Linked DNA regions of Styela clava. The protein of the gene in region 3 purifies or fractionates together with the protein of the main gene of each other region. This does not show direct contact. Links are inferred from orthologs where the notes say so. Each region holds a gene or a part of one and is shown on either strand. Other genes may lie near its edges. The genes, in order: signal recognition particle receptor subunit beta-like, NBAS subunit of NRZ tethering complex-like, syntaxin-18-like and sec1 family domain-containing protein 2-like.

Region 1 (7,796 bases), on a different chromosome or scaffold from region 3:
CTTGCTTGCTGAGGTTATTTTACAAGGTGCTTTCACTTTGTTGAGCAAGAATTGTTTGAAAATAATAGGATTTGGAATCTACCAATCTAAATAACATCATAAATACCTCTGGAATGATAAACAAGGGGCCATCAGTGCTAAATGCCTCCTAAAGGGGGCCATGAGGCATAAAAGGTTGGGAACCACCGCTCTAAACATATTCCTGTTTTATATCTGCCTAACCCAGAAAATACATTAAATCTCACTCCATATACTCATTCTAACCATTTGCCTCTTCCCTTACCCATGCATGGTCGTCATGGTTACGGCTGGGAGTTTTTGTCGAACTTTCAGTATTTGGGGGCAATGCTCTATCTAAATATAATGAAGTCTTAAATGTTTCATAAATCATGTTGTTTGTTTCAGCCCGGTGATGTGATCACCTGTGAAGTGGAAGGAATTGGGAGAATAACTAATACAGTTGTTGCAGAAGAATAAAAATATGTTCAAATGATTTTATTGAAAAAATTGCAATCAGTTTTCATGTAATTTATGCAAAGTGTTGGCAGAACTGTCAAGTGGGAATTAGTACTTCTTACTATTATTAAAATTTAGGGTTATTTGGTATAATACCTCTAACGAATGTATCAGAATATGGCATGTGTTTTTCCAATGGCCTTAAGATCCTTTTGATCATGATGAAATATATGTATAATACGATTCTGAATTGTGATTGTTGAATCTTAAAATTCTTCTCAATCAATTTTGATTTTCATATTTTTCGCGAAGTGAATTAAATAAGCCTCTTCATTTATCTAGCATGATTATACAAGTGATGATCTCTGTACCATCTCTTTTGAAATAAATATTGAAAGTTCTATACCGCTCTGTTATGAGTTGAGGTAAAAATCATCGGCGAATAAATTCTCCATCTGCGCAATGTCTTGAATATAAATATTACTGATCTTGGTATAAATGTGACTTGATCTTCTTTGGGCACTCATTAGGATTGTAGAAATCTTAGAACAATTTTTAAATCTGTGTCTTCCTGTATATTATGTAGGTGTGAGTCTACTGGTGAAATATTTTTTAGCTATGGTGCTTGTTGGGAGGATTTCATGAACTTGACATTATGTGGTTTGAATTCTCAGCAAAACTTATTGTCTGTAGCAGCCCATAATCAGTGTTTAGGATTACCAATTTACATGCTCAACAGGTTGTAGGGTGGATATGGCCTCTTTTCTCTCCAAAAAAAAAAAAAATTTAGCGAAATGGTCGTAAGGTCATACATGCCCAATGACTAATGTAGCCACACATTTTCCCTTTGGACACCTAGAATTTTTTGAACCAACCTGCTCTGCAGCGAGCATTTCCCCTGTGAATTCTCTACAAGCAAACGTCCATAATAGTTCCTTCTCTTATATTTCCACAAAGAAAAGATTTCTCAGAAATGAATAAAGCAATAATTGCAACTGGGATTAATATAGGTTCACACTCATTCTTTTATTAAACAACCACCAAAAAACAAAGGAAAATGGATTCCAACAATCAGTGAATCCGAATTTCTCAAACTGTGTTCTGTGGAAACAGAACAGCCTCGAATCTAAATTGCTCGATTTTGGGTCATAAATTTGTTTCACAAATGGCAACATACAGGCTGACAGACCTTGAGCCAGTCTATCACCCTTTTCACAATTTCTTGGTGTTCCAAAACAAAAAAAAATTTGAGAAAAGGCTGCTCTATAAACACTCATGCCTGTCTATTTAACCAAAGTAATAGTTCATCAAGTCGAGACTCATTTTCAGAGTCACCTTTAGCGTTGCATTCAATGAAATCAACCTTCAATTTTCCTAAATGAGAAAATTCAAATGGCTTCCCCTTTACACCGAGATGCACAGTTGCTTCTTCTCCATCAATCGAACTCAAGGCCGCAGATCTAGTTTTCCGAACTGTGTTCAACTCTTTTTCTAAGTGATCTTGGATTACTTTTTTTGATTTTGAAGTCAATAGGTCTTGCTTGTTGCATGCAATCAAAAGAGGCGGCACGCATTTCAAGACGTTCTGGTCGGTCAAAATATTAAATAAATACTCCGCAACATCTTTCAAATCCTTAGAAAACGACTCGCTGTCAATGAGAAAAATAATTCCTTTTGCAGTATCTTTAAATTGGTCAAAAAACTTTTGCCGGATTGCTTCTTGGCCAGGGATATCAATGATATTAAGAGCTCCTTTTTCTGATGCGTACGTTGCTTGATTTTCTTTCAACGATGTTACAGTTTCAATCTCCTGTCCAGTTAGTATTTTACTCAAAAGATAAGTTTTCCCGGCACCACTCAATCCGACGAATAAAATTCCACGTCGCTTGACTTTTCCGCCAGCAACTAGTTTCCATACAAGGTAAAATAGGAGAGAAATAATGAACGAAACTCCGAACACAAAATACAACATGTTTTCCTCTCCCACATATTCCTGACAAATGTCTAAATATCGTTCGATTGAGTATGACATGTCAATGATTGGTTCACAACATCTATAGTTCATAAATCTGAAATATAGAGACAGTTTTCTTGATCAAAAAGCCGTAATATACATACACAGAATAATGCAACAATATTTTTTAAAGGTAATGTGCACTCTTTCAAAAATGTGCAAGTCTACCAGTTACTTTGGTCATCGCTAGGGATGCAATGTGAGAGATTGGGGTTTTAATCAAGTCAATTTATTATGGTATTGGAGCGAGAATTACTTCTATGATTCACAGCAGTGGCTAATTACACCACGGCGGTAAAAGGGTTGCAAAGTATTTATTTTTCGCCATGAAAATTTTCGTGACAAGAAGGTTCAAAATTTTCAACCCCTGAGTCTCGTCTGTATTCTTAATTAGCTCAATTAGGCCTCAAGGGAGTCCATAGCCATGCTTGCTATAGTATCACTCAGCATGACTCACTAACACAATTGAGCATGTAAATAAAAGTAGTCGCAAGAATAAATAATGAGAAAATATTTTAAATTTAATTGAAACTGGTCCTGGCTTGGTGATATTCAGACCAAATCTTCAAAATTTACAAAAATGCGACTGTTTAGTTGTCAAACTAAATTTCCTCGTTATTGTCATGTCCATAATACTCTGCTTGTCCACAGCATTGTAAGAATGAGATCATGAGAAAAACAAAATATTATGCAATCTCCACTGCTTAAAAAGGTATTCTCCAGTACATATATATATATATATACAAATTCCATATATTTTCACAAAAATATCCGGCGAATAATATTCTGTCTCATTTGCAAACACATGCGCCATGAAACAAAACTCATAATAGAATAAAGAATAAAACTGGCATGATTTCCTTCAATCACATGAAATAAATGTACAATAAAACAAGAAATCTTGTTGATTCACAGCAACACCAAAATTCCCATAATGAAAACAAAAATCAAGAATTTATCCTTGTATTACCGGTACATCAGTAATTAATATCGATCCGGTTTTCCTCTATATCCTAATCTCTAGAAAACCAACGATAGTTTAAAATCTGCTTACAATCCGATAAAAAAATTCAACAATGACATGAACACATAAACAATAGGAAATTTACATCATCAGATCACATCATTTTCAACGTTGGGTCAAAATCCTTGGGAAGTTTGTTCCCTTATATTTGTACAATTGTGGGAACCCCGGGCCTAGAAAGGACCATTGGGAATAAATCCTATTTATTGGCATACTCTTCAACATCATCAATTATTAAAAAAGTGAAGCATAAGAAAAAATTAAATATCCAATGAGCATTATGAGTTTAAACATAGCAAAACACTGTAACTTTTCATATATAGCCTAAGTATGCTCAAGTAATCTGGTGAGCTTTCATGCAAGCCATATTCCAATTGCGATTTTAGTCTTTAGAATATATTATTTTAAATTGTATTCTTACTTATAAATCAATCATTTGCCACCAGGCCCTCCACCCTGTTGAAACTGTCTCATCATGTTTGTGAGTCCCTGCATGCCACCCATTTGATGCAAAACCCTTGGGTCCATCATTTTTGCCATATGCGTATTAAGTCTGGCCATCTGTGACGGGTTAACATTTTTATCCATTCCGCCAGGTTTAAAAAGTCCTTTCATGCCTCCCATCTTTTTGACCATCTGCGCGAATTTTCCATATTGCATCATAAGCTCGTTGACTTCTTTAGGTAGCGTACCAGAACCCCTCGCCACTCTTGCGACTCTACTTGGCTGCCTAGTGAAAAGTTTAGCTCCTTCTTTACTGTCAAGTTCATCATCTGTCATGCTGTCCATAATTGTCATGAGTTTTTTTAGTCGTTCCATCGAGTCCTTTTCATGTCCTTTTGTCATGAAATCGTTAAATCCTGGTATCATACTCATAATTTGACTGAATGGCCCCATTTTCATAATATTTTGAAATTGTTCGTACATGTCTCGTAAAGTGAATTGTCCGTGTTTCAATTTGTCTAATAGTTCTTCATTTTCATCCAATTTCAGTTCGTTAACTTTGTCGATAAGGCCTTCAATGTCACCCATATTAAGAAGTTTTCGGATAAACGGTTGCGTTTTAAACATTTCGAAATCGTCAATATGTTCACCAGTACCTATGAAAATGATCGGTGATTTTGTAGCTGCAACTGCGCTAAGTGCACCTCCACCTTTCGCATGGCCATCAAGTTTTGTAATGATAACAGAACAAACATCGACTTTTTCCTTGAATGCTTTTGCTTGCGATTCGCATGCCTGTCCAATTGTGGCATCCATTACAAAGATGACATTATCAGGCGCAACGGCATTATATACTTGTAACATTTCCTCAAAAAGAGCATCTTCTTGCTTGTGTCTTCCACTTGTATCGACAATAATGATTTCAAAGTTTTCTTCTTTGAATTTTTCTACCCCCTCTTGCGCAATAATCACAGGATCAGCTTCAGTATAACTGCCGTAAAACGGAATACGAGCTTTCGTTGAATTTTGTTTTAACTGATCGAAAGCTCCGGCACGAAAAGTATCCGCACAGATTAGACATGTTTTCCAATTTTTTCGCTGATAATGATACGCAAGCTTAGTACAAGTCGTTGTTTTTCCACTACCTTGAAGACCAACAAACATAATTACATTAGCTTTACCTTTTGTTGGCTGCCATGCTTTGGTACCTGGGTCGACAAGTTTCACAAGCTCCTGGAATACAGCGGATTGAATCATTTTACGCTTGTTCAAACCAGATGCCATATCATCGAAATCAATCGCTGAGCGGACATTTTCTCGCATCTGCTTAACGAGTCGAATGTTGACATCTGCTTCGAGTAAGGCTCGACATATCTCCCCGAGCATTGATTGTAAAACTTCTTCATTGATAATGGTTGCATTGCTCAGAGAACGCAAAGCGTCCGTGATCTTTCGACCAAGATCTGCTAACACCATTTTGCTGCTTTACTTCTTTTCTCCAAATTAATATTATAATCTATGTTTAGATCTATCAACTGTAAATTGTATAAAATTTACTGATAAATACTGAATTAAATTATATGTTTGGGAATTCAATCTAGTAGGCATAAACAACAAACCGGTATTTCGGTTTTTTAATATTCAGATATTTACAGATTTACCAAGAGGCCTTGTCCCATTGCTAAGTCATTTAAAAAGTTGTAAAAAGTCTGCAAGTTGTGAATACCCAGCATGTACCGGTAGGCTAGGCATTGAATTCATTTTCCATTAGAAAGTATTTGTTACCAGTTCATTTAGTTCAACATACTGACATGGTCTGATGGTGTCAAATCGGCTATTAAAAACTGAACCCATTTCCTGATTTCAACATTCCGATTCTTAAAGATGTAATCTATGTACCGTACTGTAATGCTTAAGATACCGAACTGCAGTTCCAGTCTTGATAATCTAGAATTTTCTAAAATTTAAACTAAAAAAAACAAAAACTCAGAGACGCAACCTGGAAACGGGAAAGCACCGACAAGAACTTCTCCATTGCTTCCACGATGGCTTGTATTGCTGATGACGTCCATCGAAAAGCAAGCATATGGATGGTTGAGTACCAGTCAGGCATATAAAGAAATATTTTTTTTACCTTTTTTGACAGATAAATAAATTTAGGAATTTCATTTGTAATAGTTCTGAGGTACTTTTTGTCAAATGTTAGTTACATTCAAACCCATGCATCTGAAACAAATACACGTAACCGGTTACCGCCTTGAACCACTAACCGGGAGGGAAGCCGTGGTTCGCCGTATCGACTATCTTCTAAATTGAAATAAAAATGTGAAATTCCTATCCTATTTGAATTATTTATAATTTAGATTAGTTCTCAGGTTGCTAGATTTTAAATTTCAACAATGTTCTCAGAAAATGATTTGATTATTACTTCATAATCTAATCCATTCTGACGACACAGAGGAAACTGTAGTTTCCATGACTGCAGTAGAATTGAAATTTTTCTTTTGAATGCTGTACCGAAAGAACCTGGAGTCAAATTTTTATTTGAGTAACTGAAATAAATGTGAGTATCTAACATTATTCTATAAGCAAGAAAGATGCTGATATTGGCGAAACCTCTGGAGAGCGGTGTACGTGTGTTGACTCACATTCCGCCAACTAACGTTATGTAATATTGTTTTATTTTTATAAAAATCTACTGAAAAAACATGTCATGTATCTGGAATGTTAACTTCATACCCGAACTCTATCAGCTTTTCACTTCAATTTATCAACTTCTAAACTAGTTTTGCTTTGACCTGTTTTACGCACGTTTTAGGTGTTAGGGCCACTCTTGCCATCGCTCGCAACCTGCTCTGTTTCGTAGGTTATGTCAGGTTAGTATTTGATATTGTTTTAGCTTGGTAGTTTGCTCATCGTGGCGAATGTTTCAAATACATTCTAGCATTTGCTTTCTTTCGGATTCCTCCCGTGTGTTTTGCGTGCTGCTGTGTAAAAAAGAAAGCGTCATTAACTTTACTTGATAAACTTTAAAACACATTTATCAGACTACTTATTACCCTGCGAGCTAGAGGATTGTTTGACTGACTCCTCGCTATCCAATAGGGATTCACATAGCCACTCCTGCTGCATCTTTCTTATTTTAATCGTTAGCTATTTTCTTAACCGACTTGAAGGAGAGGCGACGTTTTCTATTAGGCTCCCATTATGTTATCTTGAAAATATGTCGCCAAACATTGTGGATTAGTTGGACGAATTGTATCCTTCGTTTCATTTTGTTCCGAAAATTTATATAAAATTAAATTCGTAACATCGTTTGTGAGATGTTACGTTGAAGCGAAAGCTTGGTAATCTTTAAATTATGTAGAACGGCAGTTTTAAATATTGTTGCAAAGACGCACTACGTGCGATATACCCTTGACTATGCACGGGAATTAGCTAGATAGCTCAATGGTTTACGAATTTATGTTCCATAGAGCTAAACTATATTTCTACATCAGACTTTTATAATATTTTTTTCAGAAATTTGATAACTCGCAATTGTTTATTGTAGTATGACGTCATAATACATACAAGATAATATGCTATAGAAAAAACATAATTTTGTGAATGCGATGAATTTTAAAGCTTTCCATCAAACAGCCCGAACGTGTGCTAAAGCACGTTTCATTTTATTTAAGACTGATTATTAAGTGACAATGAATTTGCGGTCGCGCGAGACAGTGGAACAATGCCCTCGCGTAATCAAAACATCACCCGACGCTCACCTAGTCATCGGAGTTCAATTTCAAGGTGACCTTCGTGGGATTGTTTGGGCTGTAACAGCCAACCATAAACACGAAATACGTGAGCTTTAAA
Region 2 (8,007 bases), on a different chromosome or scaffold from region 3:
CCCAATGCTTAAGATATCCAATGCTCCTTCAATGTCTCTAGCGTCAGTATCCATTTGCACAGCCTGTTGTAAATACCATTCTTTGACCAACTCTGCAGAAAGTGAAGTGACTCGAAAAGTTTTAAGATGTTTGTTTTCTTCATAAAAGTCATATGCTGGATCCACTGGTTGTGTCAGCAACGTCAATTTATGTTGATATTCCTCTTTTTCACACCAATCTTCAGGATCACGATGCTTCACTTCAGGCCATTGACCGACTTCTCCCTCCTCATCAACGTAAGGCAACAAGCTTTTATATTCTGTAGGAGAAAGTGTCTTTGGAAAATTTGACAAAATAGGAAGACGATGTTCTCGTAATTCATCTCCATGAAATGTTAGCAATATATCAACTGATTTCCAATCGCATGAACGAGCATATTCTAAAGCAGAAGTTAACATGTCCTGTTGTCTAAAGATTGCAAATCTTTCCCTGTTGTAACGTTCTCTTGCTGCATCGTAGCCGCCCAGTAGACTTTCATATGTAGAAAGTCTGTCAAAGTATTTCAGAATCTTTTTTCTTGTTCTAATAGTTTCTTTTTGTTCAAGTGATAAATTATCAAAATCAAAATTTTTCGACCATTTTTTAACAAATTTTTCTCTTTGTCGTATTTCTTGTTGTCGTTGTTCCTCAACATCAAATCCTTCATATTCTTCATAATCTGATTCCGAATCTGAGGAAGTTGATGATGATTTAGATTCAGTGTGTTTCACCTCTCCAATTTTATCAATATCTGTAACTGTCAGTGCAAACTTTAAAAGCTCTCTAGCAGCATCTAGTTCGTCAGGTACTCTTTCACAACACTCGTGCATGACCCATGATCGTTTTGTGACTTTGCTTAAATAGTCCTGAATAGATGCAACTGAAACAGGTGATTTTCTCCATTGCCTTTGGAACACTTTGTCACTATCTAAGTTATATCTACGTGCCAGAGCTAGTGCTTCACCATATTCTTCATCATCCAATTTTTTTTCAAAAAGTTTCTCAGGTGTTGTTTTTGTCAAAGTTAACAGTCTATATGACTTTGTAACAAGTTTGGGCCGCTTTCTTGGAGGTCTAAAATATTCAATTTCAGTTAAATCATACATGGTTGATTTAGTGTAGTTTTTCAAACGGCCTGCTATACCTGGATGATCTTCTTTGTCACTGTCATCCAAAAATGGGTCATATTCCTCATCTTCCTCCTTTTGTGCTTCTTCTACCGAATCCATACGTTGTCGCTTCAATGTTTTAACTTGAGGTTGGCATTCTAACGCAAGGAAACCCTCATCTCTGCAGAATGATATTCTCGGAGCTGGCTCCAACCACTCGCATTGTTCACCAAAAAGGTTATCAAGAGACAAACCAGAAACACGTACAACTGTCAATGAACCAGAACAACGTGCTAAAATAACACTGGAGTCGTTCCACCACTGACAGTCAATAATGTTTTGTAATAAAGGATATTCCTTGAACTTTTTAGCAGAATTTATAGATTTCACAGCATCCGGATCCAGGCTATCAAAAAATGGTTGATCTTCTTTGTTCCAACATCTTTTGTGTCTGAGAGAAGGGATATCCCAGATGGAAAGACTACCGGATATTTGAATTGTAGCCAGAAATTTACAACATGGTGATAATGACATCGTATATATTCCATCAAAAAACTGTTTTCGCAATTTTTTACCCAAACCTACTGGAACAGTGGACAGCCTCCTCAGAAAACTCTGATTTCGTTTAGCATCATCAACATCTGAAAAAACATTCAGAGCTTTGAGAAAAGGTTCTTCTGACAGAAGCCGCCATGCTGTTAATCCAATCCTAGTCGCTCTCGGTACATCATCATCGCTCGTGGCATAACCAGCACATCCACCAACAATAATCATACTGTGGTCCTGATTATAAAGAACACCACTCACTCCATTAGAATAACTAGGTGAAAAATCAAATTCATACGTCATTTGATAACCTCTTTCATAAATGCTGTTTATTTCAAGACAAGTCGCCATTCCACTGTAAGACACGACCAATAAATGCAAACTGTCATCTTTATGTTTGTGTGTCACTTCATGTCCAATGAAAGTCAAACTACAAATGGCTGAACTATAATCATAAGCTTTTTTGTCATCATTCATGTGACCTTGATAAGTGAGTAAAAGTATTCCTTTGAGGTCACACACATAAACGGTACCATCGCTGTCAGAAAAAGCAATTGTTGTAGAATGTAGACTCCAAGAAATTTTTCGCCATTGAGGAAAAAGGTCTTTTGTAAAATTGCAACGCCCGACTAGCACACTGTAGTCATCTTTGGATGAGAGAACTTCCAAACATCCATCTTGCAATACTGCAATAAAATTACCATCAGGTGATCTAGCAAACATCCATGATTCTTGGCTGTTTATTAACTTGATCAAGTCTGGTGGCAAAATACATGATGCTCCTGATCTTACTGGAATACCAACAGCCCGGACAGTTGCCCATGTCCACCTTGATATTGAAGACTGAATCCGTTTGGCATTGTTGTAAATGACATTTGATTGAATTTCATCTTGTTGTGAACCTCCTGGAATATTATAAATTTTTATAATTACAAACATATTCAAGCAGCCAAATACAATTACGATTAATGACTGGTTTTAAAATTAAAATCGATTTTCACAGAATTAAAAAAAAATCTCTATAAACTGAAATATTACCACTGAGTTGTGGTCTTGTGGAGTCTGAAAATTCGCATTAAACTGCAAGCTGACTTAGGCTACTGAATAAAATATTGGGTCTGTCTGTTTGAAAATATATTTTCAACTTTAATATTAATAAAAGCTGTCAAATTCAGAGAATACACAGCTTCGTCATCGCCATGTATCAAATATGCTCACTTGCATAAAACTTTTTTTATATATGGATTTTTTTTTATATATGGACCAAGCAATAAATATCTCACCGACAACTTCCTTTTGTTCGGGCCATTCCACTTGATATGACAAGTCATATAATATTGCATCTTCTTCCAATGAATTGTCAGCTTGATTGCTAATATTCATTATATTTATGTATATAAATATATACTAAAAATAAGAATAATATATAAAACTGATCTTAACAAGAAATAAACTCAATAATTCATGGATGCATAATAAATTTGCATGTTACAAATTTCAAGTTATCTCCCGAAAGATATGTTATTAAACATTCAAAAAATAATTGAAGCATTTTTTTCGAAAAGGCTGACTCTCTATAGCTAACTTCTGGTAATTTAAATTGCACAACAGACTTTGAAAACAGATTGGGGAGTGACAAAAATGAAAAACAAAGTCATTAATTTTTATTCAAATTAGGAACTACGAGATAAATAGGTACTCCCAAAGTATGTGAACCAAGATGGAGGACACCGGAACGTAGTATGTGTACCAGGTTAGGCCATAATTTCAGGTACAAATACTACGAGTCACTTGGCTAGTCTCCGAACTCGTAATAGAACTAAAATAAGGAAAATTGGAATACAATTAGGGCCTAACCTTAACGTGGTACACATACTATGTTCAGAGTATTTTGGTTCACATACTTCGGGAGTTCGAATAAATAATACAAGCATATAGAGCTACAGCCGTTTTATTCAATATATGTTTCATTAATTGAATAAATCATAGCTTGTTTTGAGTATGCTTTTCACATCCACTATTGTGTTTTGTGTATGAAACATCTATCAACTCAATTACCCTAATTGTAACAATTTCAATCATATCAAAAGTATGCAATGCTGCCTCAAGTGTTCGCTTTTGCTCCTTGTATGGTAAAGTAGGTAATGGGGTTCCATTAACAAGAAATTCAGTTTTATTATCATCAGGACGTTTAGAACTCCGATCATACTTCTTTAGTTCATTTTCATAATGAGCTCGAGATAGGTCAATAGCATTCCTCAAAGGTTTTAGAAACTCTGTATCTAATTTATCCAAATGATCAAGTATTCCTGTTTTGTTCGTCTTATCTCTGATAAGAAGGAAACGAAACAAATTCAATGCAGGCATGAGTCTGTCACAGTCTTCAAGTAAATCAGTCTCTGTTCCTTGAGGTAATAAAAATATCAGCTCTCCTAGAGTAGACATTTTATGAGCTTCACAAAAAATTAAAGAATTTTTCGGGGAAATTTCTTGTAAAATTTCATTGAAACGGTCTTTTAAGTAACCAATCAAGACTCCTTGCACACCATTGTGATCTGTTGTTCTGAGCAGATGAACTAAAATTGAATATTTATCCTCCCAACGAAATAAATTCAGTAGTTTAGTCACATGTTGTATAGCAGTTGAACGGATAGTTTTCGAAGGTAGCATAACAGCAATGCTAATGAGATTTTTAAAAACATCAAGGATGGGATTTAGTGATTGACTACGACCTTGAAAGCTTCCATAAGACATCTTTATATTATAGACAACTTCGCCACATGAGATTGAGCTATCACTTGTTTGATTCAAAATGAATGAAAGAGTTTCTAAACCTTTCCATGCCACACACTGGTTTTCACAAGAAAGTAGAGTGTTTAGTGATATGCATGTAAATACCAGAAGACATTGACTCGAATAAACTTTAGGAAATTGATCATAAAGCAAACCTCTACACAGCAATAAAAAAACATAACATGCTCTCGCTCGATCGACTTGTTTTACAATTTCAAATTTAGCTTCCATTGACCGCTCCTCAGCTGGTTGTAACTTGTACCAATTCACAATATGCCACAGAACATTTGGTGAGTGAAAATGTGTTATTTTAAGCATAACGTCACAGCATATTTTTGAAGTCCCCGGAAAAATTACATTTTCTCTTATCGAGTCATTTTCTTTATCTGGTAAGGGCTCATCTAAGTCAACTTGTCCCAGCATTATGAGCAAATTGCATAAAAACTGAAACATATAACTTTCAAATTGAAGAATATTTGAAGATATCTGGTTGTTTTTAGAGTATATTTCTCTCACCACTGGGTTTAATAAATCAATATATTTAGAAATAAAACTTTCAATTTTCTGAGCTTCGAATTTTTTTGTTCGTTTTAATGTGGGATCAAAATCTTCATACTTAGGAATATTTAGACTTTCAAGATAATATGATAAAGTTGAAAATGTAGTTTCAAGGACAGTGATACACGCATCGATGTCATTTAAAGCAAGCTTCTCAAGAACATTTGATAATGCAGGCATGAGAAGTTCAACATACATCGACTCAATACTCGGGTCAAATTGTTCCAATATACCCAGATAAACATCTTTCGGTACTGCGAATCCAGCAATTTTCTCCAAACATTTCTCATATGTCTTCAGATTTTCAGAAATGGCATTTTCTCTGAGAAAACTTATAGTGGAACCGATCAATTCCCAAGCAACAGGTCGGATAACAGTTTCTGCTTCTTTGTTTTCGTTGATATAATCCCACAATTTTTCAGGATTCCCAAGAGCTCCTTGAAATTTAGTCTGGAAACTGTTACTATTTTCCACATCCTCTCCATCATGGACATGAGTTAATTGAGAACTAGACATAGTGAATGCGACTTTGTTTAAGTTTAAATTGAACAGTTATGTAGGCTACCCTACAAAAAGTTATTCCACAGATCTAATCAGAAGCAATCATCTAGAAAAATTGATGCAAAATATTAAAGTTCAGAATGAAAATGGCAAACAAAACCAGATATATCATCAGTATTATTAAGCTATCACAATATGGAAATTTAGGGTATACGTAATCATTGAAAGAAAATAATCAGTAATGGATAGGTCAGGAATAACAACAAGTTTATTCTTTCCCAATTAAAGGAAACAAATCCTTGACACTGCAAGTCCGCAGCTACCATTACATATTTTGGGTCTCGTGTAGCACAGCAATTTTTGCACAATCCTAACCCCCACCTGACTACGCCATCTAAAAATTGCGTCACTACGACGTCACAAACACGTCATAGAGCTTGTCAAAGTATACCTACAATCGCCCCAAATAGCATCTGCGCCGACGATAAACAACTCACTAACAGCAGCGATCTCTCTCGTATCAGGATCGCTGCGCCGACAAAACGAGAGAAATAGCTGTTCCATTTTGGGTGAACGTTTGCGTGTCTTGGATGACAGTGCATATAGTTTGAAGGCCCTTATTATGTCACTGTGATGGTGTAGTGACGTGATTTTTGGATGACCCCGTCAGGTGGGGGTTAGGATTGACATATGCACAAATTGTTATGCTTCACCCACTAGAAGTACTTTGGGTACGAAACTACACTAGACCCCATATTTTTTCTTGTATAATTAAACCTTGCGGGTATCTTTGCATCAACAAGTAGTGAATTTATCATACAGCAGGCCACATAGATGTGTCGTGACCATGAGACCCCTAATTAAATATCCAAATAAATGTAACATAAAATCATGATGACCAGAGTATAGATTCAGTATAGAAAAAATAGCTACTTTAGCAATTCATTTCACAGATTAGGATATCTGTGTTCATAAATTTAAAAGTAATTCTTGTAATAAAATGTTTATACCGGTAATTAAAACATTTTATTAATTATTATCTTTTGAATGAAACGCTTCATGTAGAATGACTATTTCAATCAATAATAGAACAATATTTAACCTTTTATAACAATATCAATAATGAGCATTCTCTATTACTATCAAGCAAGTGTAAATCTGACTAAATAATTGTTTTTACCAGATAATTACATTTGTTCATAGTTATTCATGAGAAAATGTTGAACAGAAATATATATAAAAAAAAGAGAATTGCACATTGCAGAATTGAACACATCAAATGAAAATTGTGGCAAAGAAAAAATATTATTGAGTCATGCATACTGACATAAAGGCCTACACTTTGCTCATACCCTATCTCATATTATCAACAGAATTTTACGTCGAAATATTTTGAACGCAGTGAGTAGGGAGAGTAACTATAGAATGCCAAAAGTTTTAAAGAATATTGTCCTAAACTTTGTAAAATTTTCTGATATTTGACACCTCACTGTAACAGCACATAGAAATGTATTTCAGATGTAACCAAATTGTCTGATGTCTCAGCAGGGCTGGAGAGTCTGAGTCATGAAATTTTATAGAAGGCTGGAGTAGGAGTTATCAGTTAAAGGGTTTATAAAGAGCGAGTAGGGAGAGTGGCTGAAGAGAGAGAGAATGCTAAATGTTTTAAAAAATATTGTTATAAACATTGGAAAATTTTCTGATATCTGACACTTCACTGTTACAGCACATAGAAATGTACTTCAAAATTTCAAACCAGATGTCTCAGCAGGGCTGGAGAGCCAGAGTTGTGAAAAATTTTAGTGGCTCCATCTTATAACCATTTGGTTATTATTTTACATATATAATTTTCTAATGCTCCCTATAAATAATTTTCAAGTTAAATTTGTATAATTAAAAGTTCAAGGTTCCACCTAAAAATTTGAAATCATTATACAGTTATATTAATTTAGCGGACCCCTTCTGTGAAACTGCATTTAGGCTGTTTTATGGTAGGCCAAGTAGCTATATCAAAAACCTAATGACAATCGATCCTAGCTCACGGTAAATAAATGAAGGAATCAAATAAGGAATAAAACTTGTATCCCTACATTTCACAGAAAAAATACAATTAAAACTGTTCTGTTCATTTCGCAGACATAGAAAATAGTTGTTAGAATGTTATTAATAAATACTTGCAGATAACTGGATAATGTCTGTACATCATTATGTAACTAACGCAAGGTTTTTGAGAGGTTCACTCAAATATTTTGTCAATGCATCAGCTTTTGCTTTCAACATTCCCACATTGACAGATTTTTCTGCAAAAAGACACAAAATCAAACTTGCAACTCTCGTCATGACAACTCGACCATCATCGCAGTCCAAAAGCATAAATTGTAGATTTTCATTACTAAGTGCATTACTTCCACTTTTCTCATATGCAGACCAAATGCTACTCGTAATGGCAGCTTTCACATTAACATTTGTATCTCCATATCC
Region 3 (7,497 bases):
GGGATTCGAGTTTGCCAACCTACGCATGGCCATTTTGAAGAAGAGCCTAAACCATGTGCAAAAAAAAAAACAGATCCTGAACGACGCGCGTCGTAGGTGTGCTCGTTTTATAAATTCAAAAGTAAAAAAAGATTTCATTGTTCATTGTCGGCTTTTCAAAAATCAGACCACTTACGGCACAAAGAACCAATTGTGGAAAAAATTGTTGTGTGTTATTAGTGTATGGACAGGGATAGCACCTCATAATCATAATGAGCGCAATCTGAAAGATGTCGGAGGTACTCAACTTCGTACACATTTCCGCATGTTTGTAGTAAAACTCTTGAGCCTCTTACTATATTTTATGTATTCTGGTTCTCTCGGGCAACTTGCGTAAAGAAACTGAAACTAGTTCATAAATTTACTAGACAGCAGCAATACCCACAATTGAGTGCGATAATCCATAGCATGCTGATTCACAATTTGTGTGGTTGGTTCAAATTTACAAACCTTAAAATTTCATTATACCTCCAGGCATTGCAGCAATTTAAGGTATATTCAGCTTTGCTAAGCTAAATCATAAAATCACTAAATTTGATTTTATACTTATACATATAACACATTTTAATGATTGCTTGAAAGTGCTTCACCTTAAAAATATAACCTAAATCAGGCACTATCAGATGCTGATTCATTATCTTCTTATGGGCAGTTTTATTCGCAAGTGTTCTCTAAAAAACTTTTACAATGTGGATAAATAACACCATATACTTTCAATTCTCTTGTGGTTAATAATAATGCAGTTGCATTCACACTACCTAGCAAAGTTATAATCTATATATATTAAAGCCATAGACAAAAGCTGTAAATATTGCAGCAAATTTTAAGAAAAACATAGTGGCCTTGAAATCAGATACTGAGAATAAAGACAAGTGTAAATTGCAGATCATAAAATGATTTTATAATGAAATTGTTACAACTGGAACATGGAATTAAATGTCCATCAATATTGTTGGAGTCCGACTGAGATACCCATTTTTCAAACTGCACACCCACAGAATCAAAATTCAGAATTAAATGGTGACAATCAAAGTTAAAATTTCTAACAAAACTCAAAAAGCTTCAGGTTGACTAAGCATTCACAGCAGCTAGATAACTTAAGAATGCTTGCAAACAACAAAGTTTGATTTTCTTGGGATTCCCAGCTGACATCAAAATTCACCTCAACCTAGAGACAAAGCAGAATTTTCATTAGCCCAGAGTTGGGAGTCGGAGTTGAATGTATTGGCATTCAGAGTCAGGTTTATATTTCTTCCGATTTCACAGCCCCGCTTTCATTCAATATCAGATTTAGCTTTAAAAAAATTACACCTATACCAACATTTGTATTCAGCTTCTTCCAGTATTTGATTCCCTTTTAGTGCCAAATGATACTTTTATCACCACCCCTTTCAATATAGAACAGTAATAGTTATATTTATCGCACCTTATCAGCTATACCACTCAAGAAATAAAAGAGAGAATGAGCACATCAATAAAAATATCAATATCCAAACTCTGAACCCAGCATTGTTTTTTATCGCCTCCCGCAGTTCCTCATTACCACCTTTGATATTTTCAGTACTTTCAATAACTTTTTCTGATATTATTTCAATGTCTCCTTCCTGTTGCAAAACTTGTTCACTAAAAATTTCCTGTAACCGAGTAATTTCAACAACCTTTCCCTCGATTGCACGCACTTCATCAACCATGCTATTCATGTCATTGAATAACAGAACATTTTCTTGTTCCAATGCTGCAGCTTCAGTCTCAGAAAAATCATCTTCATCACTCTCTTCATAATTGAATTTGCTTTCAAATTTTATAGCTGGACGTTCTGTATTGTTTGAATGATCTGGATCCTGTGTCAAAGCTTTCTTATGTGTTTCCGGATTATGCAAACGTGAAATGCGTTTTTTGTCAACCACTAATTTAACTCTGATTGCTCTTTGTTCACTGTAGATTTTACATACAGACTTTAGGTGATTTTGTATTGAAGCAAGTACAAGTTGCCTATGGGTGCATTGTTGATCAGATATATTGTCTTGTTCGACGTTTTGCTGCATCACTGTAATGGCATCATTACATTTCTTAATAATATTCTGAGCTTCCTCATCAATTTTGTCTCTTTCATGATCACTCATTGGCTGTGACGCAAGGCCTACTGCTTGATGAGAATTTATATACGCAATGCGGTGTTGCAGTAAAAAATCCCGCAATTTTGATATAGACTGGACAATGTCATTGGCCTTCTTATTAAAATCAGATTTTCTCCTTTTATAAGCATGTAAATCCAGAGATGGTTTCTTCAGTACGGTATTATCTAGAATACTATTTTCTTTTCTAATATCACGAATTGCTTTCTTAAAATCATTCGTACGATCCATGAAGTTTATATGCATTATGATCCAAGTTTAATTGTCCAACTAAAACTCTATAAAATTTGGTTAAAGATATACATATTAGTTAAATAAATGTCAGAGGTTTCTATAAAACATATGCTGATATTTCCTATCTAGTCCAGATGTGATCGATCCTGAAAACTATGCCAAAACAAACAACGTCAAAAATGTGACAAAAAGTCCTATTTTGACATGCTTTTTCACAAATAAATGACTTAAAAATAATCAGATTGACAAACTAGAACAGATCGTCTTGAAGATATGAACTTCATTGGACCATTCAGATTGAAAAATGCTGAAGCCACTAGGTGACTTCTTGAACACTATAGTAGTAGTAGAATAGACTACAGCTATTTGAGGCTAGAATGAATGATTCAAAGATCTGATTTTTCTTCAATTCAACATTTATGCTTTGATGGGTTTACAGACTTTTCACCCCTAATATCTTTCCGATTACGAGGTGGCGTTTGAAAATAATCTATAAATTCCCAAATATCATTGTGTATTTATTAACAACTCCTAAAGTGAACAAAACCAGAACTCAAACAGTCTTGTCAGTTTGTGGTCTCAAAAAGTCTGTACCATTTCAAGCAGGTTTTGCAAAACTTCCTGTTAGACAATTTATAGATCGCTCATGTACCGGTACCCCTAAAATTTTCTAATATTTAGGATGCTAAGCTTAACTTGCTCTGATGTACCATACAAATATTTTTTCTATATCTAGGCAACGCATTACCGGTACATTCCCCCAAAATTTATAAGTATGAGTTTATTTCGACTCCATAATCAGCAAAACAATAAAATGAATGGTAAAAATAAATAAATAAAAACTGATTATGAAATCAGGAGAGCGAACAAAACCTTAGATAAGGTTTAAAACGTACAGAATGTATATAAGATGGAAGGTTTTGCCAAGAAGATGTGGTACGTGTTCACTCACCTAAAATATTTGAAACATTTCACACACGCTCACACACAACCATATAGAAGTTATTAAGTAAAGGGAACATGAAAAATTACATACTGGTAGTTAATAAAAAATAAATAAATAAAAATTACTTGCCACACCATATTAATAAATTTATCATGATTGCCACTGCCAAATTGATCAATTTTATAAATGGGAGTGAACAGTAAAGATAAACTTTTATAAAAAAATATATTGTCAAGCTGATTATAGATGGAGTCAAATGCCAAAATGCCCAACCAAAGTTGCCAGAATTGGGTACATGAAGAGGTGGGCTAGACCAGTGATTCCCAAAGTGGGCGATATCGCCCCCCGGTGGGCGAAAACGATACAGAGGGGGACGAAAAAGTCGAAGGGGGCGATAGGGGGGCGATTTCGCGAAATCCGTTTTTGCTCTTCGCATCGTGCACTTAATTCTGTACTCTGTGTGCATTCGCAGGCTTGAATCACGTGGTCGATTATCACGCTCGAAAGGATTGCTGGACTCGTCTCCGCAGTAAGGTACGGTAGTTGGCGTATCCCAGTGGTCGGCAAAATACGGCCGGAGTAAAAAAATCTGTACCGGGACGATTCACTGAATAGACCTATCCCCGACCTTTGCCCGCGGAAAATTCTTCCTATATACTTTACCATTTTAAAATTCTCGGTGCTTATTTTAAGAGTGTTTGGGAGTACATATTTGTGCGAACAATTTTTTTCGAAAATGGAGACATTACAAAGAACAAGCGAAGAACTGGGATTAGTGATGCCCATTTGGAAAATGTTCCAATCTTGGCGTCGTAAAGCTATCAAGCGTGATGCAGCAACATGACAGTGTCACATTAAATGTCATTGTAATAATTTTTTGATAAGACGACTGAGTTGAGTTCGCGAGCGACATAAAATTTGCCGACCCCTGGGCCGTAGTCGATAGTCGGTCACAGTTTTTTTTCACATCCGAGTCCATGAATCCAAAAACAAATAGCTGATTAATTCTATGGACTGGTGATAGGGCTGTAGGCCGTGGTAGGATAAGGAATCGGGGATGAATTTTACCGAAGTGTTTTGGTGCAGGTCATCAGGCTGTAGGAATGAATGAGATGTACGAAAATCATTATTATAACTTTGGGAAAATTAACTTTGCTTTCATTAATTTAATGTGAAATGGGGTGAATTTACGGGGGGTGAAATGCTATAAGGCAAGAGTACACGGTGGTATTTGAGGAGGTAGAACCCTGGATTCTTTCATTTCCGACCTATTATATGGTGAAAAAGGGTTTTTGAGCCGTGCTACTATTGTCATCAAAACAACGAAATCGCCTTTCCATCAGTAAACTGGGTAATTTCAGATATGATAAAAAATTTGCTGAAGAACACCGAGCTCATTCATCTCATTAAATAACACTATAAACTATGATTTGTCTTCTTATTTGGTCTGTAATATATTCGTTTCTGACTTTACATTTTTTTTGTAGTGCTGGGGGGCGATGAAGTTGTATAAACTACTTTAGGGGGGCGATGGTCAGAAAAGTTTGGGAACCACTGGGCTAGACCATAGGTTCTCAAAGTGCTCCGTACGGAGCCCCAGGGCTCCGCGAGAGAAACCCAGGGGCTCCGCGAGCTATCGGATTACTTTTCAAAATACTGACTAGTTTTGTAACTGTTCTAATAAGAAGCAATAACAGCTTTGATAAAATCTGACAACAAAATAGCCTCGAAATATGGCAAAGAGGCGGAATTAAAAAATGACATTATTTATAAGCAGGAGCGCAGCCAGGATTATTAAGAGGGTGGTGGTTCAAAATTGGAATCGGAAATTTCCGCGCAACATTCTTCGCGATTAAAAAAAACGGATAACGAGATTTCTATTGCGTAAAATATTTAATCCATGACCGATGCGAGCATTTAACGAACAATTGAAATTTATTTTATTGCATTCGGCTCCGTCGGTAGTTTCAGAATGAAAAAAAAGGTACATCGCGGAGCGCGCACAATTGATTGCGTGCGGCTCCGTCGGTAGTTTCATAATGGGGGAAAAGGTACATCGCGCGCACCATTGACTCTGTTTCGATTTCGCAGTTACTACGATGAAAACCTAACATAACACCAATTTTTGTGATTTACAATGTCTATAAATACGTTTTCAATCTGAGGTGAGTCTGCTGAAACCAAACCTGTGATCTTCCATTTTAAGTTTTAGTCTTATTATTTTAGAATGCCGCTTTTCAATCAAGAAATTTGAGTTGCGGATTTATCTCTTTATTAATTATTATTTTTAGCATTTCGTAACGATGACTATAATATGGTAACATGTTTTTCACATTGAACTCATAATTCCCCACGAGAACAAAAAAGCGAATAACGTCGTCATTGTGTAACTATACATGTATATATATGCCGAGGGAAATTTTTGATTTAGGGAGAATAAACACCGGCGTAAAGATGTTAAAAGATTCAAAGACACGCCATGCTGACGAAAAAAATCGGCGATTGTAACAAAATGCAATTGCGCACGTTATTAGCGGCCTTTTAAGTCTTCCAAAAATGTCAAAAGGGAAAAGTTTCGACCCCTTATTTATTAACATGTTTGTCAAGTGTCAAATTTACAGCTTTAGTGTATATATAATTTATGTTTGAAATTTAGATTTATGTATGACTTGTATTAACCCTAAGGTTCAGCATTTAAATTAAGTAAAGTACTTTTAACTTGCTCAGGAATATTAATCTGAAAGTAACAACTTTAACATTTATTTTGGGGCTCCGTGAATAATAGTCAACCTTTCCAAGGGCTCCGCAACACCAAAAGTTTGAGAACCCCTGGGCTAGATCACTTCATTGCCCAAACTAGAGCCTATTATTGCCAAATTATAGTCCAGATTGCAATAAGTATTCAAATCTATCAGTAACTTTATAAGTATGAGTAATTATAATTAATTAAGGTAGAAAGACAGGGTATAGGAATATGTTGGTTGCTAAGGTTATAAGGTTTTTTTTTTTTCATTCTTAGATATTGACTTCTGCAAGGATAAAGGAATTAGGAATAAAGGAATTAGTATTGTTATTTCACAGGATCATTTCTTCATTTAATTATTGTGGCGTAATAGATGTCAATTCAAGTTTGTCGTGGATGAGACATCAGCTTGCAAATTTTGTTGTTGTAGACACTATTTATATTCAATAAACTAGCCATTGTATTGATCATCACAGAACGACCTGAAAAACAGAAAATAAATCTGCGAGTAGGATATTCAAGGGTTACATATTTGGAAACAGCACTACCCTACACTTTTGTTTAGAATTAATTATTATTTCGAGTAGATATTGATTATTAGTTATCTATCTATAAAACGCTAGTTCAAAGACCAGAGTTGAAATATGGTTGGGACACAGGGTGAATTCCTCGCAAACCATGCAGAAACTCTCAAACCACACTGACCATTCGTATGTTGGCCTTCACATTAACTTCACAGCAGAACCTCAACCTTTCGAGTAGATATTTATTATTAGTTATCTATCTATAAAACGCTAGTTCAAAGACCAGAGTTGAAATATGGTTGGGACACAGGGTGAATTCCTCGCAAACCATGCAGAAACTCTCAAACCACACTGAACCATTCGTATGTTGGCCTTCACATTAACTTCACAGCAGAACCTCAACCTAGGATAAAATTTTGTATACACACAAAACAAATCATAGAATACCACAACAAATTAAAATGAAGGGGAGAATCCAATATATCTCCACTGGTCACCTAATTACAATAATAGGTACAGGAGCTAAACTATACGGTCTACAACCCTCATAAGGTATCACACCACCCATATAGAAACAAAGACCATGCATGTGTAATGTCAAAAATCCAACGTTAAGCAAAAAGGGAACATGCGCATGCAGATGTCAGAGTGTAAACAGCCATTTGAAAAATAAACAAATAAAATAATTTGCTGTGCATGCTACAGAACCCGACACACCAACATTAGATGTAGAACAGGTGGAGAGAGATTAACTGCCGGCTCAACAACAATCAGCAGCTGCAGGGGCAATAGCAATATTGTAGCTGTTTAATATTTTCATGAAAATAAGTATGTGCAAGTGAAGAGTGTCCCAACTTTCTATCATGGTCATTCATG
Region 4 (7,444 bases), on a different chromosome or scaffold from region 3:
ATTATACTGTTTTTGATAGTTTTCGGGTTTAAACAAATAAATATTCATAACCATTTATTCAGATGGTAATATTAATCAAGAAAAGCATGCAGAACGGAAAAGCACACATGCTGTTTTTTAGGTTTCTGAATCTTGCGAGATTTGACGGAGCGCATTCGCAATGAATCGGAACCGTGAAAGCGAAAAGTGTGATTACACGACGCCAAGACGTCGCCGGGCCGCCCTTATCAAACAGCAATATGACGGCGGAAGAGATATTGCGTGATAAATCAACGCAACTTCATCTTTTCGGTATCGGTAACCAGTTTTGGTTTCCTTCCCCAGTAATGTAAATGTTTTTCCTTAATTTTTGTCTTTTTACTGATTGGAAAAAATAAACTCGATTTGACGTCGTCGATTATATAATCGTGTGGAATATTTTCATGTTTTTCTGACTGAAATTATAGCATAGTCCCGAGACCAAATTAGGTCGCGTGTTTCCCGAATCATTAATCACGGAAAGTTGAAATAGTGCTACCAGATGGAAGATTGCAAGCGACCATCCGACAAAATATACATAGAATAATCCTTGTGGTAAACATTCCGCGGTTGACTTTAAAGAAGTAAAAATTATCTGGGAAATAGATGGGCTGACGGAATACGGTAAAACACATGGAGACCACAAGGAAACACTTTTTGCATAAGATCTAGCTGAAAATATGACGGCAAACTTTTGAGGTAAACAGGGAAGTTCAGACGAAAATGGTAATTGTAATAAAATACGCGGTTCATACGTGACATTACCGTACTTGATTTATTGCACAATATATACACCAGAAGCTGATGATGTCCCACGAAATTTGCAACTCATTTCACAGATAAAAGAGCGCAACCACAAACGCTTATTACAAAAAGAAATCCGGATTTAGGTTATCTGTAAACAAAGTTCTGTCGACAACATCGGATGGTGAAGTTAATCTGTTTGATCCAAGTATAACTTCACATTGATTTGACTTAAACTTTCGTAAAACATCATTGACTTGTGAAACCTCAGTAGCTGTAATGCCTCCTATAACATATATTATTAAAGTAGGAAAATCACATGGTCTGGGAGGAGTGACTTTTCGGAACATACTCATTCCCATTTTAAGTAAGTCTTTGCGACCAGTTGTAATATGCTCAATGTCAGGCTCAAGATCTGGTTTTAGTGGATGGAATATTCGCTCAATAACTTGACTTAGCAGAGGTTGGTAAGAAGGGGGCTCAACTTTGCCAAATTTCAATATATGAAATAGATGCAAATCATTTACGACGATTTTTTCAAGGTTGTTCAAAGTTCTGTAGACGGTGTGAGTTAATTTGGCTTTGTTTTTCAGGTCTTCTTCAGAGAGCTTAAAAGAAGTCATGAAGTGCTCTGGGAGATCCTCACACTGAGTGTTGGAAATGATCTCACAAAGAGAATCGCACAAATTCTCATACACATCAATATCTATGTGACTTTTAAATGCATAAGAAGCATAAATCATTAAAGACAACAATTCTTCAAAAGTAGTTGAATCGTCCTTAGCAAGTTTGGTGATTTGATCCAAAATATTAGAGACATCATCATCTCCCAACTGCTGAAGAATTAGTTTCTCCGTCATAGCCAATGTTTCCCAACTTTCACAAGATTCATCTTTTAGCAGTTGGGCAGTGGCCAAACCAAATTGAAGTAGTGCACTATTGTACAGAACAGCACCAGCATTTCTTTTGAAAGCACCAACTAGATTTTCAATATTATCAGCAGGATTAGGTTCATTGGTTGAAATATCACCATCTTCATTAAGACCTTCTTCTGTGACTGCTCTAAGCAATTGGTTTCGAATTTGTGAAACTGCTTTTACACTTTTTACTCCACAAGCTTCCGCAAGAATAGGGCTTTCATCTGTATCTGGAACCAAACAACCAGGATACACAATTGTATCATCAACATCTTCAGGACAAGCATCACATAAAATTGACATATCAACTGACACATTGTTACAATGAGCAGGAAGGCCGGGCAAAATTCCCAGTAATTGATCAACTAAACATCGTTCCCCATGGGATGCTGGGCCAATCAAATCTAAAGTTCTGTCAATGAAAAGGACACCGATTTTCCCTGGATAAGTGTTTTTTTGTTGATTAACCATATTGGAAAGCTGTACTGAACACAGGTGGCTTGTTGGCCCAAGTGCAAATATTTCTTCTTTACAACCTATAGAGTGGAAACATTGTCGTAAAGATGATGTCAACATTCGAACAAGAGTTCTGTATTCATGAGGACACATGTAGAAATGGAGATCTTTAAGATTAATCGTGCTTCTACCAGAATCTTCCATATTCAGTTCAATTAGATCTTTGTGTTGAACAGGAAAAAATGCATCAAATGAAGGCGTCAGAAATAAGTTTTCAAACATTGGTGCCATGAATATGGGGAGATGAAGAATTTCGGTTTGCACATTGGTGTCACCCATCCATTTTTGTAGTTCATGCTCCAGATCTTCGAAAGTTCTTTCATCCTCTTTCAGATATTCTTCCCCTGAAGCATATTGATGTAACTTAGGCTCTAGAGTTGTGATCACCAAACAGTTATTAAAAGAACTTGCAGACAAAATATTTTCTATAGTATATGTTGTCTTCCCAGTAAGAGGTGAGCTTATGATAAACACAGCTTTTTCCTGCTTTTCTGTTCCACTCTCAAATGCAGAAAATTCTCTTATGTTAGTGGCTCCACTTTCAAATAAAAGATCTGCTCCTCCACACCAATGCAAGCATTCCGCACAAGGATTGTCCATGAAAATAACTGCATCTTGAACCCTTAAAGCGACTTTCTTCCAGGGTGTCAGGCAAGTGTGCTTAAAGAAATTATTCATGACTATCAATAGTGATGCTGTAATAATGCACACAAATCACAAGAAAAACATAAATATCAACGAACATGCAATAGTCAATGACAAAATTCATAGAAACTTGCACAAGTTTAAATCAAATTTTCATGAAAATTATAAATGATGAAAATGTTTCACAATAAAAAACAGAAGGCAAATTTTTCGCAAATGCGATTATCAATACACTATACTCTTATCACATTCCAAGTATATTATTAGGTATGTGTAAACATTAATTAAATGATATCCAAATACTGAGACAAAACATGGCTGTCTATCTGTGAAATGTACTCTTTTGCAAGATTTTATCGCTTTTCTAATAATACTGAAATTGAAAAAACAGGATTCCAGAAGTACTAGCTGGATATGGACTCCTGTAGACCAGATTCACATAGCCAATCCTTCTGCATTCTGGCCAACCATTATATACAAATGAGCATAAAAATATAGATCCATGCTTTTTAAAGAAACAAAAATTTGCACCATTGAACAGAAAACCATTTTTAACTATTGATCATACACTATAGCTGGAGAATCAATATGACACCAATTGGAAAGTAATAAATAAAAACAATGGTTGAAGATAGAGAAAAATAGGAAATACTGATTTAATTTGAGAATATCAAAATCAAAGGGATTCCAAATTGCAATAAAATAATGATTTCTACACAACTACTTACATTCCTTATATTCAATTTCCAGAACACACAAAGTTAATTAAAAGAAGAACACTACAGTTGAAGTGAATAAACTTGGCACATTTATACAAGTTCTTGGGGTTTCATACAATATAAATTTAGTTTCAGCTGTAAGATTTGTGCAAATACTTGCTGTTCATTCTTCTGCATATTCAGCTTCAGTGGTTTCAACATTAGATTCTTCTAAAAGAGAAATTACTTGAACTAAAACATGTTCATATAGAATCTTAACTATATTTCATAAGACAAAGATTTGAAAAAGCCAAGAGTCAAACTGGCTTATTATTGATTCAAGCATTATATCATTCAATGAACACAATGATACCGTAAGCCTATTTCTGTTCATCACTGTGATATGAAGAAAATTATTAAAAATGATCATATCAGATTCTTACAATGCAAATACTATTGTGAAAGCCTTCACTATTATGGAAGCCCTCCAAGTTCAATAGGTACGATAAATCCTATCCAATTTAAATATTAATCAAATCTAGTTTGTTTTCAAAATGATGCTTGAAAATTATTGAATTAAAAATAAAATATTAAAAGTGAATTTGGCCAAAATTTCATTTTACTACTTAATTTGATGGTACAAATTAATTAAAAATCATTAAAGAAAGCAAGAAAAAATACTACAATATTGAACAATTACTTCGAAACATGTATATTAATTTATGCAGGTAATCGTGGTTTATTAATTTTGATCAGGGCAAAGCTACAAAGAATCCCATTGAAAAACTATAATGAAAAAGAAAAATTGCACTGCACTAGAATCTACAAAAAAACAAATGTTGATTGCGAACATTCAAAAATAAAATGATATCACTTTAGGCTCTTTTACTCATTTCATAATATAAATTACTTATTTACCTACTGATATATCGCTCTCACAAAAATAATATTCTGTTGCTTTCTTCCTTGACATGGCAAGTAATTGCACGGTTTTAACATTCTGATGACCAAAGTCCATATCTTCAATGTCTTCAAAATGCTTTGGGCTGATTTGCTTGATCTGAAATAAAAATGCTTCAAAAATACTGAGACTGGTACTGGTAGTCACCTGTTTAGGTGTAGGACTACAAACTATTGCAGCACAAAAAATCAGTTTTAAAAAGTTTAGACTTACAAGACAAAGAATATTGATCATGATCATGTTCGGGGAGCATGACTCTACAATGGCTCGGACTCGATAGGGACTCGAAGTTTGAAATTCGCAGAGACCCCGGGTTGACACAAATCTCAGATGACCTCCGACTCCACATGAGCTACATGCAGTCTATTTTCAACAAAGCAATATCCATCAAAAAAGGGGTGTACAAAATTCTTTCATGAAGATATACTATCATATTGAAATACCTTTTTCTTCATTGCAAAACTTCTCAATTTGGAAAGTTTCATTAAAGTAACATGTGGAGTGTATTCAAACGGATTTGTACTCTTCAACAATGCAAATTCCTTGTCGAAATGTTCTATAAATTTAAAAATAGAATTTGGGATGTAAGTGGTTTTTATTTTAGAAGTCCGAAATCTACATTTCAGAAAACCGACAACCAAACAATGTTTAATGTAATGAAATTCAGGCATACAAGACAGTCATTCCTTGCGTATCTGCCCTGAAAATGAACCTTGCAAATTGCAGTCTATATGGCAGTCTTTATCCTTCTATGGAAGGGGCAAATTAAACTGAAAATTGGGACCGCATACCAGAGCCTATTCTCTCAGATATAGTATAACATTGGTTGAAGGTTCATTAAAAATGTAATTGGACTCCTTATTTTTTTTCAATGTAAAATTTTTTTTAAATGCATGCTTATCCGACTAGTTTTATTATTACAAAGCTTTGCAAGATGCCGCTCTGAGTTGACCAACAGAAACCAAACAATGTCAGCCTTTGTATGAGATCTAGCAAATATTTTTTATTTTTCTTTTCTCAACTATTCACTTATACCATATATTAAAATAGCTTCATACCTGAAAACAGTTTCAGCTTTTCTTCATTGTCACCAGGAACAACTTTAGCAAATACCACTCTTTTATCAAAATGTCCAATGCCAGAAATATGGAGATTCATAGGCTCACCATCTAATATTGACATCAAGTCATCTCTACATCTTTGCAGTATTTTATTTGCTCTGAATGTTTAAACAAACAACTATTTAAAAAACATATCTGTTTTGCACATCCTAAATTCAAGTTAATTGAAGCCCATTTTATGAAATCACATGACTAACAATGCTTTTTCTTCAAATAGTTGTACTGTATTTGTATTTACATAAAGAAACCCAAGCGAAATTTGAATACATAATGTCATTCATGAATTTGTCCAACAGGAAACTCATGAATAATTCTGTGAGAAATATTCGAATAATGAAGAATTATTTTATGATAATAATGGACAAAGTTTGGCTGCGTCTAATCGGCATCCAATCCATACGAGGAAAAACAAGATTAATTCGAAATATTATCAGATTATAAGTTTGAATAAATAAGTTTATTCAATTCAGTTCTATGATTTTGATGGTCAATATATTAAAAAACCTAACCATCAAGTTTGGACAGTGGCAAAAATATAAAATTGCCAACATCTGATTACATATACCGGTACCTACCTACTGGTGATGCATAACAAAATGGATCAATGTTACAAATTACCGTAATCGAAAAACACTCAAATCTAATTTTTCGGTCTCACGAATAACTTGAATCTCATTGGTAGAATAAATTACATGAGAAATCATGAATTGCAATAATTTGAATCATGAATAGGTGAGAATAGATGTCAGCATTTATAACAGACTATCAAATAAATGGTGATATTCCATGATCATGATTTCGGGATTAACAATTTACACCTATGTGAGAGCCAAGGAAGTCCAAAAAAATGTCAAGTTACGAGCTCCAACAATTAAAACCCATGAGATTCATCAGTTAAATTTGCACTAAGATTTATATATAATCAATACATTTCGAAACATGATCATGATATATAGATTACATTGAAATTCTCAGATAAAAAATTCAGCAATACAAAAAATTGAGAAATGTCCAAATCAAGCTATAGCAAACATGACATGATTCATTCTATTTACCAGTGATGTAAAATTTAATAGATCAATGATTTTTCAAAAATCAAGAGAAAAACCATCATTTTCATCTCACTCATTCACAGTGCTTTCATTCGGGAGAGACAATAGACAAAGAGTAATGTGAGCAAGATCAACACCAACTACAACATTTTCCAATATACTCTCCTTTGCCACAATGCAATCTTGAACCTCTTTCATTTTACCTGGACCATTATAAAAATTTCAAATAGAAAATGCGAATTCGTGATTCATTTTGACAAAATATCTATGTGGTTATAAAGATATATTAGATTAATCTAAAATATGTTCGAAATAAATTATCACTGAAACTGAGCTCCTGCATACACTAGTTCAGACATCGCATCAACTTGACTTAGACTGGGCGGTGTGGCGCATTGTGCTGAGCATTAGTAATACGATCGCTAATGCACCTCTGATAATCCAGCATAGGTTTACAGGTTCGAATCCCATAGCGCAGGGGTCGGTAACCTTTTGACGCTCTCACAAAAATTGAGGGTCGCGAGTCTTGCCGAGCCACACATATTTTTAAAAACTTATCAAAAGAAAAAAAAATCACAAATGACATTTAATGTGACACATTTTGTTGCATCACGCTTGATAGCTTTTCAACATATCAGGCGGCACACTGGATGAAGCCAAGATTAAAACATTTTCCAAATGGGCATCACTTTGTAATGTTCATTTGCAAAATTAATTGTTCGCACGCATATGTACTTCCAAACATTGATGTGAATTTTTTCTCACGGTTTAT

Evidence for each region.
Region 1: the proteins of syntaxin-18-like (region 3) and signal recognition particle receptor subunit beta-like purify together in Homo sapiens (affinity purification with mass spectrometry; 3 studies listed by BioGRID and IntAct, counting the BioPlex papers as one, with this or other methods). This does not show direct contact. The link is inferred for Styela clava from reciprocal best matches to the Homo sapiens genes STX18 and SRPRB.
Region 2: the proteins of syntaxin-18-like (region 3) and NBAS subunit of NRZ tethering complex-like purify together in Homo sapiens (co-immunoprecipitation; 5 studies listed by BioGRID and IntAct, counting the BioPlex papers as one, with this or other methods). This does not show direct contact. The link is inferred for Styela clava from reciprocal best matches to the Homo sapiens genes STX18 and NBAS.
Region 4: the proteins of syntaxin-18-like (region 3) and sec1 family domain-containing protein 2-like purify together in Homo sapiens (co-immunoprecipitation; 3 studies listed by BioGRID and IntAct, counting the BioPlex papers as one, with this or other methods). This does not show direct contact. The link is inferred for Styela clava from reciprocal best matches to the Homo sapiens genes STX18 and SCFD2.

Annotation. Positions count from the first base shown.
Region 1 is NC_135264.1:14,567,094-14,574,889, forward strand, and holds signal recognition particle receptor subunit beta-like, read right to left. Parts: upstream 2,526-7,796; 5' UTR 2,522-2,525; coding exon 1,730-2,521; 3' UTR 639-1,729; downstream 1-638. Other genes in the region: oxaloacetate tautomerase fahd2, mitochondrial-like, read left to right, coding at 406-477; signal recognition particle subunit SRP54-like, read right to left, coding at 3,927-5,414. UniProt on the Homo sapiens protein: Component of the signal recognition particle (SRP) complex receptor (SR). Ensures, in conjunction with the SRP complex, the correct targeting of the nascent secretory proteins to the endoplasmic reticulum membrane system.
Region 2 is NC_135260.1:20,997,676-21,005,682, forward strand, and holds the start of NBAS subunit of NRZ tethering complex-like, read right to left. Parts: upstream 3,093-8,007; 5' UTR 3,058-3,092; coding exon 2,958-3,057; intron 2,580-2,957; coding exon 1-2,579. Other genes in the region: glomulin-like, read right to left, coding at 3,658-5,541; ragulator complex protein LAMTOR2-like, read right to left, coding at 7,732-8,007. UniProt on the Homo sapiens protein: Involved in Golgi-to-endoplasmic reticulum (ER) retrograde transport; the function is proposed to depend on its association in the NRZ complex which is believed to play a role in SNARE assembly at the ER. Required for normal embryonic development.
Region 3 is NC_135253.1:4,203,218-4,210,714, reverse strand, and holds syntaxin-18-like, read right to left. Parts: upstream 2,665-7,497; 5' UTR 2,421-2,664; coding exon 1,470-2,420; 3' UTR 670-1,469; downstream 1-669. UniProt on the Homo sapiens protein: Syntaxin that may be involved in targeting and fusion of Golgi-derived retrograde transport vesicles with the ER.
Region 4 is NC_135255.1:2,229,461-2,236,904, forward strand, and holds sec1 family domain-containing protein 2-like, read right to left. Parts: upstream 2,874-7,444; coding exon 885-2,873; 3' UTR 771-884; downstream 1-770. Other genes in the region: A-kinase anchor protein 7 isoforms delta and gamma-like, read right to left, coding at 3,723-3,769, 4,457-4,598, 4,943-5,055, 5,558-5,718, 6,746-6,875. UniProt on the Homo sapiens protein: May be involved in protein transport.